2 linked regions of the Yarrowia lipolytica genome follow. The protein of the gene in region 1 purifies or fractionates together with the protein of each later gene. This does not show direct contact. Links are inferred from orthologs where the notes say so. Each region holds a gene or a part of one and is shown on either strand. Other genes may lie near its edges.

What was found.
Region 2: the proteins of YALI1_D06638g (region 1) and YALI1_D09055g purify together in Saccharomyces cerevisiae (affinity purification with mass spectrometry; 4 studies listed by BioGRID, with this or other methods). This does not show direct contact. The link is inferred for Yarrowia lipolytica from reciprocal best matches to the Saccharomyces cerevisiae genes NUC1 and YMR099C.

Annotation. Positions count from the first base shown.
Region 1 is NC_090773.1:658,767-667,167, forward strand, and holds YALI1_D06638g (uncharacterized protein), read left to right. Parts: upstream 1-5,054; coding exon 5,055-6,002; downstream 6,003-8,401. Other genes in the region: YALI1_D06572g (uncharacterized protein), read left to right, coding at 1-3,370; YALI1_D06665g (uncharacterized protein), read right to left, coding at 6,388-7,797. UniProt on the Saccharomyces cerevisiae protein: This enzyme has both RNase and DNase activity.
Region 2 is NC_090773.1:901,394-909,685, forward strand, and holds YALI1_D09055g (uncharacterized protein), read right to left. Parts: upstream 4,128-8,292; coding exon 3,264-4,127; downstream 1-3,263. Other genes in the region: YALI1_D09004g (uncharacterized protein), read left to right, coding at 1-786; YALI1_D09034g (uncharacterized protein), read right to left, coding at 1,062-2,096; YALI1_D09068g (uncharacterized protein), read left to right, coding at 5,429-7,186. UniProt on the Saccharomyces cerevisiae protein: Catalyzes the interconversion between the alpha and beta anomers from at least three hexose 6-phosphate sugars (Glc6P, Gal6P, and Man6P).

The sequences.
Region 1 (8,401 bases):
CTACGTGCAGCTGGGGCGTGCAGATTCACATGCATCCTTGCTTCCCCAGGCAGTGTCGTGTTTTGCAGGTACTGATTACAAGGAGGATATTCTGCAGACCGCGAAATGTGACTCTCTCTGGACGTCACGTGGTTTCGGTGTGACTTCCTTGGTTGAGAGAGACGAAGTGAAAGGCATTGAGAAGCTGCTCAGCAATCCTTTCCTCTCTCTTCCCTCTTTGGAGCATGATGTGGAAATTCTTTTTGATGATAAGGTCGTGCCTGTGCCTCCTACTACCGGCATTGTGGACAACTCGATTCTCCTCTTCTCCAACTTGTTTCCCTTCCAGCCTGCTAAGGTGCAGGAGTCCTTGTTGGAACAGATGCGAACCCACATGGCGTCTCATTCCAACAAGGCCACCTCTCAGCTTCGAGGTGAGGCTGTGGTTGTTAACTGCCTTGTAGCTCTGAACCTGGGACTAAAGAAGAAGGCCCGGTCGATGGACGCTCGAGTGGTTGCTCAGCTGCTGGAGCTTCTCAAGGGTTCTATCAAGCATGAGGACTCTCGAATCCGACGACTGGCCGCTGAGAATCTCGGTTTGCTGTGTGTCTATGGTGGTGCTTCCTTCGTCACGGCTCAGATCAAGAATATCATCGACCAAATTGTGGCCGAAACTGACCCGCATACTCGGTCCGGCTGCTCTCTTTCTTTAGGATACATTTTCCGGTTCTCTCAGCCCGGCCATGCTAACCTGAAGACCGTATTGGGTATCTTGATTTCCCTGGCCAAGGACCCTCATCCTATTGTGCATTACTGGGCTCTCAAGGGTGTGGATTTGATTGTGGACTCGTCTTCTTTCAACCCTGGCTCTGCCTCTTCGCTCCTGTCTACCGTCACAGGTCTCTATGTGGCTGAGAACCACGATGAAGTTGCTTCGGTTGCCTCTCAGAACATTGCTGCTGACCTGAACAACGTGCGAGTTCTTGCTGAGGTGCTTCATGGTCTGGTGGTTGTCATGGGCCCTGAAATTGTGGTCCATCGGGAGATTAAGCTGTTGTGTGACTCTCTCTGGTTTGAGGATCCCACGCATGCCATTTCCATCGTGCAAGAAGCTCTTGTCTTCGACGTGTCCATGTTCGATCTTCAGGAGGTTACCGGCCGTCTGTTGGCTTACCTGACCCACGAATCGTCAGCTGTTCGTGATCTGGCCGTCCAAGCTCTACATCAGCTCGTCAAGATTTACACCATCGACCTCTCGGGTAAGGAGCTGCAGATTTGGTTGGTATACAATTCGACTCTATCCGAGGAGGTGGCCAAGTTCATATCTGCATGGGTGGAGGCTTCGGCTGCCGATTCTGGCACTGGCCGAATCCACTGGGTGCTTCGAATCCAGCGTCTGATGACCCTGAATCTGAACGCCACCTCCAGTGGTCAGACTCAGCATACTGAAGATGAGAGTGCTGCCATCACCGTTGGAGAGTCTACCACCGGCGAGCCTCTTCGATGGCAAACTCGAGCTCTTGCCATGGAGTCGCTCATCAAGATTATGGAGGAAGCCAAGTCGACTCCAGCCATTCTGGCAAAGATTGGTGACATTATCCGACTGGCATTTACATGCTCAACGTCCGATATCGTCAATCTTCGTCTTCTCGGTATCAGACTGCTCTCTGTGATTGTGTCTATTGGTGATATTCCCGATCCCGAGTTCCCTGATGTTCCCCTGCTGGAGCAGTACCAGGCTCAGATTTCCTCCGCGCTCTCACCCGCGTTTGGAGCTGATTCCACCACCGAGTTGGCCTCCAAGGCCGTGTGTGTTTGTGGCCAGTTTGTCAGTAGTGGCATTGTTAAGAACCTGGACCGACTACGTCTTCTTAAGTTTCTGACAACTGCTCTGACAGACACAAACACGCTAGAGTGTGTTGGAGACCTCAAGCCTGTGGGTCCCAACAACCAGCTGAAGCTGCGACTTGCCATTCTCGCAGCTTGGGCTGACATCAAAGTCCAGAGTCATCACAAGGATTATCTGCGTGGCCTAGTGACCCAGTACCAGAAGCAGCTGACTCCTCTGTGGATCACGGCCATCAAAGAGTATGCGCAGATCAAGTTTGAACCTGAACCTGGTTTCGACAACCTGTACTCTTCTCTGTCGGGTCAGTCAAGACTCGAATCATACAAGGACACATGGAAAGTGATTGTGCATGCCGTTTCGTCTGTCCCCGACGAGCAGGCGTCGTTTTTCTTTGTGCTGTTTGGTATCTGTTTCGAATACCTGACCCATTCCTCTGATCTGGAGATTTTGCATACTCTCCACAATGTCTGTGTCTCGGCTGGTAATCGCGTTTTTGAGCCTTCCATCTTCTCTGAGCTGCTTGATCTGTTTGATCGTCTTATGCTGACAGTTTCTCTTGAAGAAAAGGCAGTTTTGGCCAAGATTTGCATGCGTCTTTGTGTGTCCGGAGCCTCCCGAACCTCTTCCTCTGACGACTGGGACCACATTACACAGCTGTTTGAGCTTCTTCGAGTGTGCATGGTCGGATTGGGAGGGGTCTTGCCTATTTCCGAGACTCCTGTCAAGTCATACCCTCAAGCTGAGCTCGCTCAATTTGCTCAGGAGACCTTCACGTCTCTATCTGCGATGCTCCAGGCCTTCCCTCCTATTGTGCAGGCCGATCTGGTGGAGGTTTTTGCTCACATCTACCTGAGTATTCTGTCTACCGCCGAGACCCCCATTCTGGCGTACATTCAGTTCCTGCGTGACATTTGTGACGCCATGGTTACCGTGGGTGCTCAGGAGGACATCTCAGCTCTTGTCACTGGCTTCGTGCGGGAGCTCGTGTCAAAGCACTCTGGTTCTCAGAGTGTCATTTCTCTGACAACCGTCATTACCAAGGTTCTTAACGTGCAGCTCAATCATTCGACCATTTCCGACATTGCTAGCAAGTACATTGAGCTGGTCGACAGTGGCGATATGCAGACTGCTCTTGGATGTATTTCCGCGGTGATGGGTGTGTCCAACTCGTCTCCAGCAGCTCGAAACCTGACTTTGGAGCTGATCCCCCACCTAGTGAAGCGTCTCGAAGGTACGGAAACGCGTGCTCAGATTGTGGACTTGCTGTTCAACTATTCTGTAAACCATGCTTCCACCGGCTCCTTCTCCATCATCATGCCCATTCTTGTCTGGCATGCTTCTACGTCTTCTCGCTACGCCAACGAGAAGCTGTTGGAGCTGGCAGGCAAGGACCAGCAGATTTTCCGATCTGTTGTGCAAGCTTTGAGTCCTAGTCAGAAGCAGGTATTGGAGCAGACCTTGCGAGGAGCCCAGGATGATGACGACGACGACGACGACGGCGAATATGAGGAGCCTCAGATTCAGCTCAAGTCCTTCGCATAAGTAGAGTAGGAGTGAGTGGCAGTTGGTCACTAACAGTACAGTAGAAAGATAGAACTATGTACGATGGCATTAACAATTTTTTAAAATATGAATTTACGATGAGTGTGGTAAAATATTGCGACAGGTCTCTCTGTTTTGCGTGTCTGCAATTTTGAATGAGTGGCAGGCACAAATTAAGCTCAGCTCCGTTCCCGACTGTAAGCATGCAGGACTGCATTGCACACGTCATTTGACTTTTTTAACAGAGTATATGTTGAATAGAATTTTAAATAAGGTTGAAAGTGTGCATGAATCTAGCCTGTCGATTTACACCACTAATTCCCGCGCGAGACGAATTAATTGCCATTTTTTTGACCTTATTGGTATTTGAGTTTCTAGTTGAAATTGGAGGGGATTTCAGCTAGAAACTCTTGTCGAATGACCGGAGGAAAGAGTTGATTGTTTTGTTATTCTCTTAATGTCTCGTTGTGGCGTGTTTTTTATTTGTTACATCGGGCCACAGTACGAATACCAGGTTGGTCATGTTGTCCGGTTCAGATGATCTTTCGGTGGATGTTGAAGGGTCCGAGTGTGTTGAACGCGGTGTGTGGTTCTTGTATGTTAGATATAGGATTACAGGGGGTAGTTGCTGTGTTATTAGTGACATGGGACTGGTAGGCTGAGTAGTGTGAGGATTATTTGCTCACTTTTCGTGTTTTTGAGAGGGAAATTACAGAACTTGTACGGGGTCCCAAGCACTCCTACTCGTATTAAGTTTGGTCACTGGGCAGAAAGTATTTCGTTAGATACGAGCTCCGCTTATGAGTAGAGTATGATGCTATGACCGTACAAGTACCAATGGTCATTTATGGCTATTGAAAATACAGTACCAGGTATTTTTGCTGTAGAGTGCATCATTCAGGGGTTTTATTAGATGCGAACTGTGAATTCTGATTTACAGAATTATACAAGTACAAGTACAGTATTATTTTTTTCTGCATGTACAAGTATATGACTGGGGAAGGGGTGAAAATTAGTTGGGCTTGTACTTGAGTTTGACGAGAATCGAAAAAAAGACAACCAGGAAGCAACCAGTGACTAGAATTAGAAATAAATAGCGGTTAACATGCGTAAATTGCAATTGTTCTTCGTCAAGTCACAGGTCTGGTCCCCTTTGCCTTGCACTTCACGTCTCACGGTGCTTGAACGCTGCACCCCTGATTCGTGCACATCTACAGTATAACAGCTTACTCATATAGCAGGTACAAGTACCGAGAAGTCAACTTTAGACGACTTACAAGAGAGGTCAAGAACCAGCAGAATCTCGTCAAAGTGAGATTGCACGTACAAATTATTGTGGAGGTCAAAATGAACTTGCAGGCAGTCACGTATTGCACTAACTGGTTTCGTCATACTGTAAAACTCTCACTCTCATCACCACTGGTCAGATCCACGCGTTGTATCTCTGTCTTCCAATTGGCTTGTCCACCTAATGAGAGCTGGCACTCGGACTGTACCAGGTGGTCACATCACCATTCATTCTTGTATCCATCACTAGACCCCAGGTCCCCCGTCTCTGATCCTCTTTAAATTAACGCCTATCAGATGCTCAAGACGCGCCCAAACTCTACGATCAAACTTTGGCTGTACATAAACCCTTGATCTCAGACTACAGCCTCAGCACGGTACAGTACTCTCTTTCGACATGTCCAAAATCGCAGCTTCCATCGCAGCTATTGCCGGCACCGGTCTGGCGGCCCATCTGTGGGCGGACTCGCCCAGAGCGTCTCTCGACGTGTTCAACGGCTCAACCCCGGCGGTTCCAGTCAAGCCAGGGGAGTTCTTCAAGTACGGCTTCCCCGGAGCAGCCCACGACATTGCCTACCGACAGGAGTTTGTGTCGTGCTACGACCGAGAACGACGTAACCCCATGTGGGTCGTGGAACACATCACCCCGGACTCCATCAAGTCCAACAAGGGCGAGGGAGCCCCGGATCGAAAGTTCTCCAACTTCAAGGAAGATCAGGAGGTGCCGCTCAAGTTCCGGGCTCGGCTGGCCGACTACTTCCGATCGGGCTACGATCGAGGCCACCAGGCACCCGCAGCTGACGCAAAGTTCTCCCAGAAGGCCATGGACGAGACCTTCTTCCTGACCAACATTGCCCCCCAGGTCGGAGACGGATTCAACAGAGACTACTGGGCCCACCTGGAGGACTTTTGCCGACGGCTGACCAAGCAGTACGGCAGCGTGTACATTGTGACCGGACCGCTGTACCTGCCTAAGAAGTACCCCGATGGCAAGTACCGAGTGTCGTACGAGGTGATTGGTAACCCCCCCAACGTGGCTGTCCCCACACACTTTTTCAAGATTGTGCTGGCCGAGAAGCCCGTCAAGAATCCCGGAACCAGTGACGTGGCTGTTGCTGCCTTTGTGCTCCCTAACGACGTGATTCCCAACGAGACCAAGCTTACCTCGTTTCAGACCCCCGTGGATGCCATTGAGCGGTCCACCGGAGTCGAGTTCCTCAACAAGATCACCGTCAAGCAGAAGGACCTGTGTCGAGAAGTCGACTGCTCCATTGTCGTACGAGACTTTACCAAGGCCCTCCCTGCCCCTAACGGGTTGCTGGCTCTTCCCGCCCCTGAAAAGTAGCCTACTGTATATAGTCAAAGAGTGTAGAACATATATCATCATGGTCGCTGTGTTGAGTCATACTCGATGTTTCGGAAGAACTGGAACTATTACTTGTGTGATAACGGGGGAAATGTGCCCTAGAGCTCGTAGAAGATGGCTTCATACGCTACACTGTCCAACCACCTCTCACTTGTGCTACGATCATAAAGCCATGCAAGTGCAATATATTAGTTCCTAACTACTTGTAGTCCCCACTACAAGAGGTAGTTTGTCAAGAGTCCCAGCGACAATTGCTGAGAACATGGCATGTATCTGTTGAGAGCGAGAGTTAGAAGCGCTCATCGAAACCCCCTACTTCGTAGTGCTGCTGCCTACCCTCGCTACGTTGAGCTCCGCTCTCCAGCTAGGCGACAATCCTCAGCACCTCTGCCTTCAATGTTCGCATGTTCACCAGTACCACCTCTCCCGTCTCATCAAACCGCGGAACTGCCACCAGACGCACTGACACTCCGTCATGCTTGACAACACTGGTCTGGAACTCGTCCTGGTTGCCGCAGAAGTACAGGTGGGGAGTTTCCTTGATGATGAAGGGATCGTCATCTCCATAAGGATAGCAAGTCAGGGTATCTGGGGCAGTGGGACACAAGTGCCGCCAGGCAAGCGTATGCTCCATGATATCCAGAATATCGTCTCGTCCTTCGATCAGATATTTGTAGATGTCCGACACGTTTTGTCCCGAGGTTCCCAGCACCTTGAGAGGCGCCTCGTCGGTTGAAAAGTCCCACCAGTAGGGGTTGGAAACAGACCCAAAGGTGGCCTTTTTGAACTTGCGGCTCTGAGGGAACATGGACAGATGCAGCGGCTGCTGAGGAAGCGACATGTTGCCGGGATCGTCGTTTCCTGCCATGATATCAACAGAGATGGATGGCAGCAATTGTGCAATGTACTCGTCAACGCGAGCCATGGGCTTGAAGGCGTCGAGGTCCACGGTTCGAGATAGTGTGTCGATAACGGGTCTTTCTGACTCCAACGAGCAGTTGTTTCCGGCCATAATGAACCGCGAAATGTTTTTGGGCTTTACCAGTCCATCTTTTGCACCATCTTCCTCAAGCAGCCCCTGGAGATATTCTGCCAGAAGCACGTGTTTGTAATCCGTCTTCTTCTGGCCAATGTACAGACCAGAAGCAAGACAAATGTATGTGTCTTCAGGAGTATCATTGTCAGCCATCTCAACGTCTTCTCCGTCATTGACTCCACTCAGAGGTCGATAAATCTGTTCGGGAAAGCCGCCCCAGACCACATCCACGACCGTGAAGCGTCCGTTTTCGCCTGCCGTGCCTAGTACTCCACAAACAACGCCTGTGATGAGCATGAACTCCTGCACCTTTGGTCCCACGAGCGTGATTCGACCGGAGCTGTCCTCCAGCTGAATCGACGAATCGTCCTTGTGTCCACCGTCCTCACAATCGCCCTGAGGGTCCACGTACTTGGGCTTCTTGCCCGGAGGAGCTCCCCAATGGCTGCGGGTCACCTCCTCCAACATGCTGGGTTTGTATTTCATGTCCTTGAACAGTGTGCCGACCACAAACACCGTATCCCCAACAAGAACGTCCAAACACTTGTTGAGGTACTTGACGTTCTTATCAGCCCATTTGGAAGTAGCAGCATCCAGCACCTGGCTCATGAGCTGGTGCAATCGCATGTAGTAGATTGGCGCATACTGACGGTTGTAGTTGCGTTTTGTGATGGGCAACGTGAAGCCATCATTGAGCGAGGTGGCAGTAGTGGGCAGATTTGAACGTATCTCCGGCATGCTGAAAGTGTCGAGTTCTGGTATAGAAAGCTGGAGCAGTATTTCTCGATGGATCAAAATCAAAAGCGTGTAAATTGAACTTTAAAAAGAACCCAAAACCCGTGTACGCGAAAAGAGGGTAAGTAGAAGGAGATGCTGGAGCATGGTAGAGGACGATAGCTAGAGGACGATGAACGTCTATACGCAGTTCTTGAGTTGTACTTTGTATGTAGATATAGTTTCAGAGCGATTGAAGTACTGGATACCACGTTATGGCTGGGATGTTGAGGGAACTCCTATCAACTATGAAAGACGCGTTTAGTTGATATCTTTGTTAAAGCAATTATTTTCAGAGTAGAGCTTTCCGGCGATACTCCAACTCGTAGGAACTCTCGGGGAGCGGCCCCAAAAGATGTAGAAGAATAGGATATAACTGAACCATTACTGTAGCCTGCTATTTCAACATTCTCTTGCGCTGATACGGTCTAGCGGTCTCGCAGTGCTGAGGAAGACCTCACGAACACAGGCAAAGTTGAACGTTGGTATATTTATGAGAAGAAAGAGGAACCATGAGCTGTAATGCTGTCAAAAAGTATCAGAAGCTGTCAATTGTTGGGAATCTGGG
Region 2 (8,292 bases), about 240 kb from region 1:
TCTTCTTCTGGATGGACTGCACGTGCCCTGTCTGTCGACCAGACTGGCTCCAACCAGCGAGAAGCTGACCGAATCCGAAAAGAGCATCCTGGCGAAGAGGACCGTGTGATTCGACGGGGCCGAGTTCTGGGCGGTCTGGAACCCACCCGAGCGTTTGGAGACGCCCGATACAAGTGGACACGTGACTTGCAAGATAAGGTGGCACGTGCCTTTTTCGGCCGAAGCACGCCTCCGGAGCTGAGGTCGCCTCCCTACGTCACAGCTGAGCCTGAGGTGACTACCACCAAGGTCAAGAGTGGTGACTTTCTGGTGATGGGCTCCGATGGGTTGTTCGAGATGCTCTCCAACGACGAGGTGGTGTCTCTGGTCGTGCAGTGGATGGAGACTCACCCCATCACCGAGTCTTCCACCGCCGCTTCGGCCAAGTCTGGAGGAATGTGGGACAAGATGTTTGGCAGCAAGGACTCGACAAAGGTGGTTGATCTGACAGTCGACCAGGACGCCATGAAGCCTCCTTTCCGACACCAGGGTGCCGTTCTCAAGCCCACTGTTGAGGATGAGAACGTGGCAACTCACCTGATTCGAAACGCTCTTGGAGGAGCCGATCGGGAACAGCTGTCCATGCTTCTGAGCATCCCTGCTCCTCAGTCACGGCGATACCGAGACGACCTGACCGTGACGGTGGTTTTCTTTGGCGATGAGAAGGCTCCTGAGAACGGCGGTATCAGAGGCAATGTTGCTGCTACCAGTGGAGGTGTGGGCACTCAAGAAAAGGCAAAGTTGTAAGAGCAGATGACGAAACCGCAGGCTGAGCGTCTGCAAGAGGCAGTCAGACACTTGCTTTTCGTGCGACGAGTACATACATCTCTAGTAATATATGTTGGGTTACGTTATGTGTATGGTATGTACTGGTACGAGTACAGTATTGTACTTGTGTAGTCCGCGTTCTATCATCTCTAAGTTGAATGATTCTATAAGTTATCCATTCATCTATATCTATTGGTGGTTATGGGGTCAGTCAAATCACTGGAAGGACTCTTCGGGCTTCGCTCTCGAACGTTTTAGTTCTGGAACGACAGCCATTGGTTAGCAAAGTCAGCCACAGACTTGTCAAGGGGAATCCAGTCGTAGTTGAGAGCCTTTCGTGTCTGGTCGTTATCAAACTGAAAGCCCTCCTTGTCAGTTTCAGCTCCGGTTCCAGGCTTTCCGGTAGCAATCTTTCCCTTGAGCTCAGGCACCTTCTCGTTGATCACGTCAAGGAGATCCTGGTTACAGAACTTGGACACGCACAGCATGAGACGCTGGTTGTCTAGGGTCTTGGAGATGGCAGACAGGTGGGCCTTGGCCACGTCTCGCACGTCAACCCACATCTGGGCAGGGCCAGCAGGAGCATCCTGACCAGGCTTGGTAGAGAGAGCTCCCTGGACAATGACCTCGTTGGAGGTGTTGAGAGCCTTGGCATCAATAGCAATACCAGGACCAAAGACGTAGGCAGGGTTGACAGTGGTGAGGCCAAAGGAGGGCTTCTCAGACTCCATGAAATCCCAAGCGGCCTTCTCGGCGAACTTCTTGGAGCCCAGGTAGGTTACGACAACATTGCCCTTCTGGGCAGCCTCGTCCCAAGTGACGGGGTTCCAGGACTTCTCGGTGACGACGGCGGAGGAGTCGCCAACCTCGTGCCAGTTCATCATGGCGGCGAAAGACGAAGTGATGACGAACTTCTCAACCTGGGGAGCGTACTGCTTGGCGGTCTTGAGGACGGTCAGAGTACCCTCAACCGCAGGCTCAAGCATATCCTTGACGGGGTCCTCGACGTTGAAATGGAAGGGAGAGGCGGTGTGGAGCACATACTTGATGTCAGTGTGCTTCTGGAACAGAGTCTTGAACTCCTGCTCGGATCGGACATCGGAAACAGTCTCAAACACCAGCTGGCCGGTCTTGATGGCCTCGGGGAAAGCAGCGGCCAATCGCTGGCCCTTCTCCTGCGATCGAATCGTTCCAATGACCTTGTGGTCGGCCTTCAGAAGCTGCTCGATGCAATGGCCGGCAATGAAGCCAGTGGCTCCAGTGATGAGAGTGGTGGGTGTAGTAGACATGTTGTGTTTGTGTGTTGGATGTGTGGGTTATGGGATGTCAGGAGGTATCTTCCGGCAGCAGTGCACTGTTATATATCCTCCACTATGTACTTGATCTCCGTCAACTTTCATCTACATTGCATTTCTTATGTCCGTCAGTTTGTCATGTCATGGAACAATTATGAAGGTTCGCTCCAATTCAGTTCATACTATTGTAGCAGATTTAGACAGTGATAGAAAAAGATGGCAGCAATAAAAACGGGCTGTAATGGGTCAATTTTGTCGCGGAAAAGGTCGAATCGAGTAAACAAGACTCGAAAAATCGATTGTAAACCTCCCCATCTCAATACCTCCGCCTCTTCACCCAAAACTTGCTACCTTCCCTCGCATTCGGCATGTCCTCTAAAAGCCTATTCTGATCAACAACCTGCTTTGCGTTTGCTTCCTTCGGCAAGGTGTAACGGCTCTTCTCGAACCGTACGCCTTACAAGCAAGGTTGGGCGGACAAAAATAAGGTGCTGATAAATGGACGGACATACCAAGGTTGCGTAGCGGAGGCGCGCACTTGGTGTTAACGATATGTCCGACAACTGACGAAATTACCCGTGAAAGGAGAAGAAAATGTATGCCATTAAATGCAGAATTCCCCAGCGACTCTAATGGTATAATTATATCCCGTTTCTGTATCGCAGAAAGCCTCAATATGTGCACCAATATGTGCACCTTCCAATGGACCCACTAACAAAAATAGATGTGCAAGAAGGAATGATGCAGAGCATACAGAGGTGCGACACTAGCCCAGAACGGCGATTGCTGGTCGATTATCCTAGAGCATACAGACCTGGGAAGTGATGAGTGTAAATATGACTGATGTGTTTCTCTTACAGGAAGATTTGGAATAATGTACTAACATCCTTCTTATTATGACATTGCACTGTTCAGCAATGCTCTCGTGGGCAGCTTGACTTCTTTCCGCTCAGTACATGTTGCTACAATACTGTATGTTAGAAGTGCTGGTTATATATGGAGATAGGGGGTACAATCCGTTGCTTGTCAGCTTGAAATCCTATAACTACGTCTCGGAAACAGAAATATGAGTCAATCGTATCCATTGACACGGTTGCAATCCTCCGGGTCCCCCAAATCAACAATAAATTCATTCGCCTAAGAAACTCGTTGTACACTTGTCTACAAATGAGCCTTGATCTTCTGGCCACCCTCCCACTTATCGCCAGCGGCCAGCTTCTGCCACTTGGCCACGTCTCCTGCCTCGATGCAGATCATATGGTGGAAGCCCTGCTTGGGGGTGAAATCAGCGAGACCCTCGGCCTTCTCGGTCCAGGGGTTCCACACCACCACGTCGTTGATATTGTCTCGAGTGACGGTTAGGTAGGGTTTGTTCTCGACATCGACATTGACAGCTCCAGGCACATTTTCGTACACTCGATCGACCTCTCCGGATACAGTCACCTTGGCGGCCTGCTCGACGTAGGAAGAAACAGTCACCTTATCCTTGACGGGGACGGCCTGCAGACCAGTCACTTCGACGTTGGCAATCTCGGGGACTCGCAGATAGGTGTGGAAGAGGATGTTGAAGTCGAAGGGCTTGTTCTGCTCAGCGTTCTCCACTGACATTCGGGTCTCGAGAGTCTTGTTGGCGTCGTCGATAGTCACGGTGTAAATCAGAGTGAAGTTGTAGTCCCACTGCTTCTTGGCCTCGTCAGACAGGTTCTCAGGACCCAGACCAAACTGGATGGCAGCCACGGGCTTCTCCGAAGTCTGACCAAGGTACTCCCAGGTGGAGGTTCGTGCAAAGCCATGCTGGGGAAGGGCCGAAGTGGGGCCCTCGGTGGACTTGCCAAAAACGGGGAAAACAAGAGGAATGCCTCCTCGCACGGCCTTGGAGCCATCGAGCTTGGCAGACTCGGACAGCCACAGCTGTTCCTTGCCGTCAATGGTCCACGATAGGACGGTGGCTCCGTATCGTAGGATCTTGACTTCGGACGAGCCGATAGTGACAGTCACGGTAGAATCGGTTTGGGACACGGACATGTTGGGGTGTGGGGGAGTGTTGATGGTTAGACTTGTATTGTAATCGTAGCGTAGCAAGTGAGTGTAGCGGGTAACTGCAAGAGAGTTGCTTATTGTGAGGGCAGGAAAGGATATTTCGAGAAGATATTAAATGTGACAATAGCTGAATGTCAGGAAACCTAGACGTACGAGTTATATCGCTCCAACCCACCAATTGAGGGAATTAACCGACTTCTTCTGATTCTCACTTACGTAACAGTTGCCACGTCCAAACCCAATGCATCATGTCGAATGTACTGTAAGTGCCGGCGTATACAGTTAGTATCGTCAGTTCGATTTCAAGACGGGAAGTAATCCATTGTTTGAAATTTGAAAAGTGAAATTTGAAAGGTGAAATTTGAAAGGTGAAATTTGAAAGAGAAATAAAAGGGGCTACTCCATGACACAAAGCAAAAAACCCGAAAAATAACGACGGCTGCACATGGTACGTCCACAGCTACATCTTCATATTGTACCCCCACTTACCCCCACACGCCTGAGACGGGCCCAACGCCGTGATTTCGGGTCCACTGGACTCCGCCAATTACAGTTAGGCACAGGAACCAAGCTGACTGATGGATGACACCAAGACCCACCAAGATGGCGCGCGGTGCTACTGTATCGTACAAGTACTGTACAGTACTTTGCTCGCCAGGGCGCGGGACAGCCGTCCTTATATAAAAAAGCTGAAAAAAACACTCGGTTCTTGTGTCACTCCAACTCGTTTCTCCTTTGCTGATTGGGCGGTCCTTTGGCGGGTGTGCAGTGTGTGCCCGCATCTACAAGTCGGCTTTATAAATAGCTGATGAGACACAGGATACAGAGCTCTGTTTGTATATGGCGTATCTCGAGACTGGCCAATCGAAATGCCGTTTGTCACAACCTGATTTGCGGCTCTCTTTCGCCACAAGGACATGTCTCATACGCTTGGAGGATTCGCACCAGGCAGAATGTGAGCTTAGGGTGGCTGACAAATTGCGCAGATGTGACAGTTGCAGCAGCGTATTGCACGACAGAATTGTGGCTGAAGCAGCTGAAGCACGTAGCACCGGAGCAAAGGATAAGTAACCAAAGAGAAACGCAATCTTTTCCCCTCATCCACAACACAAACACTTGCTTGGTTCCTCACCCCCACATCTCTCGACCTCGCATAACTCACCGCACAACTGCACGCTGCAAGCTCGCCCAACTCTGTTGCGCTAAAGGACAAACTCTGATGCAAAATGTCGACATGAGCAACCAACCAGTGTGACGAGGACTTGGAGAACTTCTGACGCGCCACAATGTCTATCAACACGGTAGTCATCGGCTCAGGTCCCGCGGGACTCTGTCTCTCCTACATTCTGCACGGCAACATACCCTACTACAACCCCCACAAGCCACATCCTGATCCCGAACTCCACAGGCTGCTGGCTCAGTATGAGAAGAGGCCGGGAGGCAAGTCGCTGCTGGACGCGGTGTCCAACCGAGACGTTTTGCAACACGTGATCGACAAGGGTCCGCATTTCCGATCGTCCATGCTGCCAGTCAACCTGCTTCTGGATCTGCTGGTGGTCTCAGACGAGATCAACTACGTCAGTAGGGACCAAATGGATAGCCGAATCACGTGGGTGCACGAACCCGAGCGGGCGATTGATCACGTGGTCATCGGAACCCATCCTGGAGGCCAATGGGCTCAATCTGATACTTCTACAACCACTCCTGATGACCAATGTTTGAGCTACGCAGAAATGCTGTCTCTCCCAGGCTACCCATTTTCCACGCATTACAAAGAAAAGTACGGCAATGCACCTCCGGAGTTTTTGCGGCCTCGAAGGAAAGATATAGCGTCGTATTTCGACGCCTACCCCGACATTGTGGGCATCTCAGACTCACTAATTATCGGAACCGTAATAGAGGTCGATATCAGAAGCAAGGGAGGCTATTCCGTCAGTTACAACGGTCAGGTTGGTCTTATGACCCCTGGCTCTGAATCTGTTCCTGGATCTCCCTCTGGCCCAAGTTCGCAAACAGCCTCCTGGGCGTCGCCTAAGAGAAGTCCGTCCTGCCGACTTACTACAACTAATGTGGTTTTGGCAACCGGCATTTTCGACAAACCGTCACAGTTCAAGACCCACAAACACGCAAACTGCTCATCCAAGTCGTTGCTGTACAACTCGGAGTGCACGGGCATGACTCTCAACGAGCTGATTGACAAACGGTTCAATGGGCTCTTCCACTTTGACCATTCGGACTCAGATGTCACCCTGGTGGTCGGATCTGGCTTCTCTGCTGCCGACATCATCAGTTCGACTTTCAAGCAGGGCGGAAGAGTGCTTCATTTGTTCAAATGGGGTGACAAACCGTGTCCTTTAAAAGGATTCCCTAGAGAGCTGTACCCCGAGTACGCTTCTATTTACAGATGGATGAGGCTGGCAGCTGCAACTCAGAAAAGGTCTGCTAGCGGTGCTCAACCAACTAATGGGGTTGTTTCAACGTCTCGAAAATGTAAGTTTGAAGAAAACGGATGCCACTACGAGGGACTGGCAAACACAAAGATTCTATCTGCTGAAGACGGAGTTCTCAAACTAGAACTTCCCGGCGGAGAGGTTCTGACTCGACACGTAGGAGGCGTGCGCATTTGTGTCGGTCGAACCGGGTCTCTGCAGTTTCTATCAAACCGCATCCTGCATGCCCTAGACCTCGCTCAACAGGAGGCCTACACGGTGAACAAGCATACGATTTCCAAGCGCATTCTCAACCCGAGGAAAGACAAGGGAGACCCATCAAACGGTCTCTCAGACCTCGGACACAAGCACACAAACCGACCTGTGTCCAACGGTGATCCAAAGACCCCCGACTCGGCAGGCGCCTCTCCATGCACCTACGTGGCTGCGGGAGCTCCAGGCGACGCCCAGTCGTGCGAGGCCATGGATAATGCCTTCTACGGCGACTTTCAGGTGCTTCCCAACATGTACGCCATTGGCAGCCTCGCGGGAGATTCTCTCGTGCGGTTTGTGCTTGGAGGAGCTGCTGCTGTGGGCAAGTTGTTGGGCGTCTAGCAAGGAGGTATCAACCATCAACCAACTATCGGTCACTGCAGTTGACCAAGTATTTATTTGTAACATAACTGACGCATTGAGCCAAAAGGCATATGCGAAGCGGAATGGTCTTGGACTACAACACCACAGCGCCCCGCACTATTTCGAGACATTGTGTAGATGTGTCTCACTGGAAGAGTATCATTTGCACTCTGCGCAGGTCTATCTCCATACAGCCACCTTATAGATCACTCGTACGGTAGTACTCTTGTAGCTACTGTAGCGCTACTAGTGGTACGATACACTCACCATCTCGTTATACAGACGCATACCCAAGTAAGAGCACTCTTCCTCCTCAACACCACTCGCACAGGACCCAAACAAAAAACAAAGCAGAGCACGTGTCCGTGTCTGTGCGGCGTTCACGGGTCCGAATTGAATTTGAAAATACCAACAATTTGGACGTCCGAAACTCATCATATCGACATATTATCGAGTGACAGATTAAGAATCTTGAGAGCTTCTCAACTAATCTCGGTGGCTCTGTCAACAACATTCAACTAAAACGTGTCTGTGGGGGTTGCCTCGTATAACCGAGTTAATTTCTGTGGCGTGAAGATCGAAAGAATGCTTTTCATGGGGGGTTTTATTTGTGTCCTGGGGAAGAAATCCCCCTTCACAGCGCTACTTATCTCCCCAATTGCAGCTTCAGCCGATTATCCTATTGCTTCGTCGAGCCGCGCATGTGTCTCATTATGATGTCATCTGACCAAGATCGCAATCTACTCTCTAGGAGGAAACACTGTGTGACACCAAAATACACAAGTGTCCGACAAGCCGATGGCGACAGGATACTAGGGTCACGTGACCCGCCTGAAGCGCCCGATTGACCGCGGCGAATGACGGGGTACCTTATTCTCAACTGTTTGCGTACAAAAATGCGTCATTATCCATGCTCATAATTACTGCCTACCTGTGAATAAGGCCAACGCAGGGACCATGTTTTTGTGAGTGAGAAGTGGGCTGTGTCCACACAGTACTTGTACTTGTAGATAACAAGACAGACAAGGTGATTAAAAAAATATGGACGCCGACATGGACGATACAAGTGAACTACAAGTAGAGTC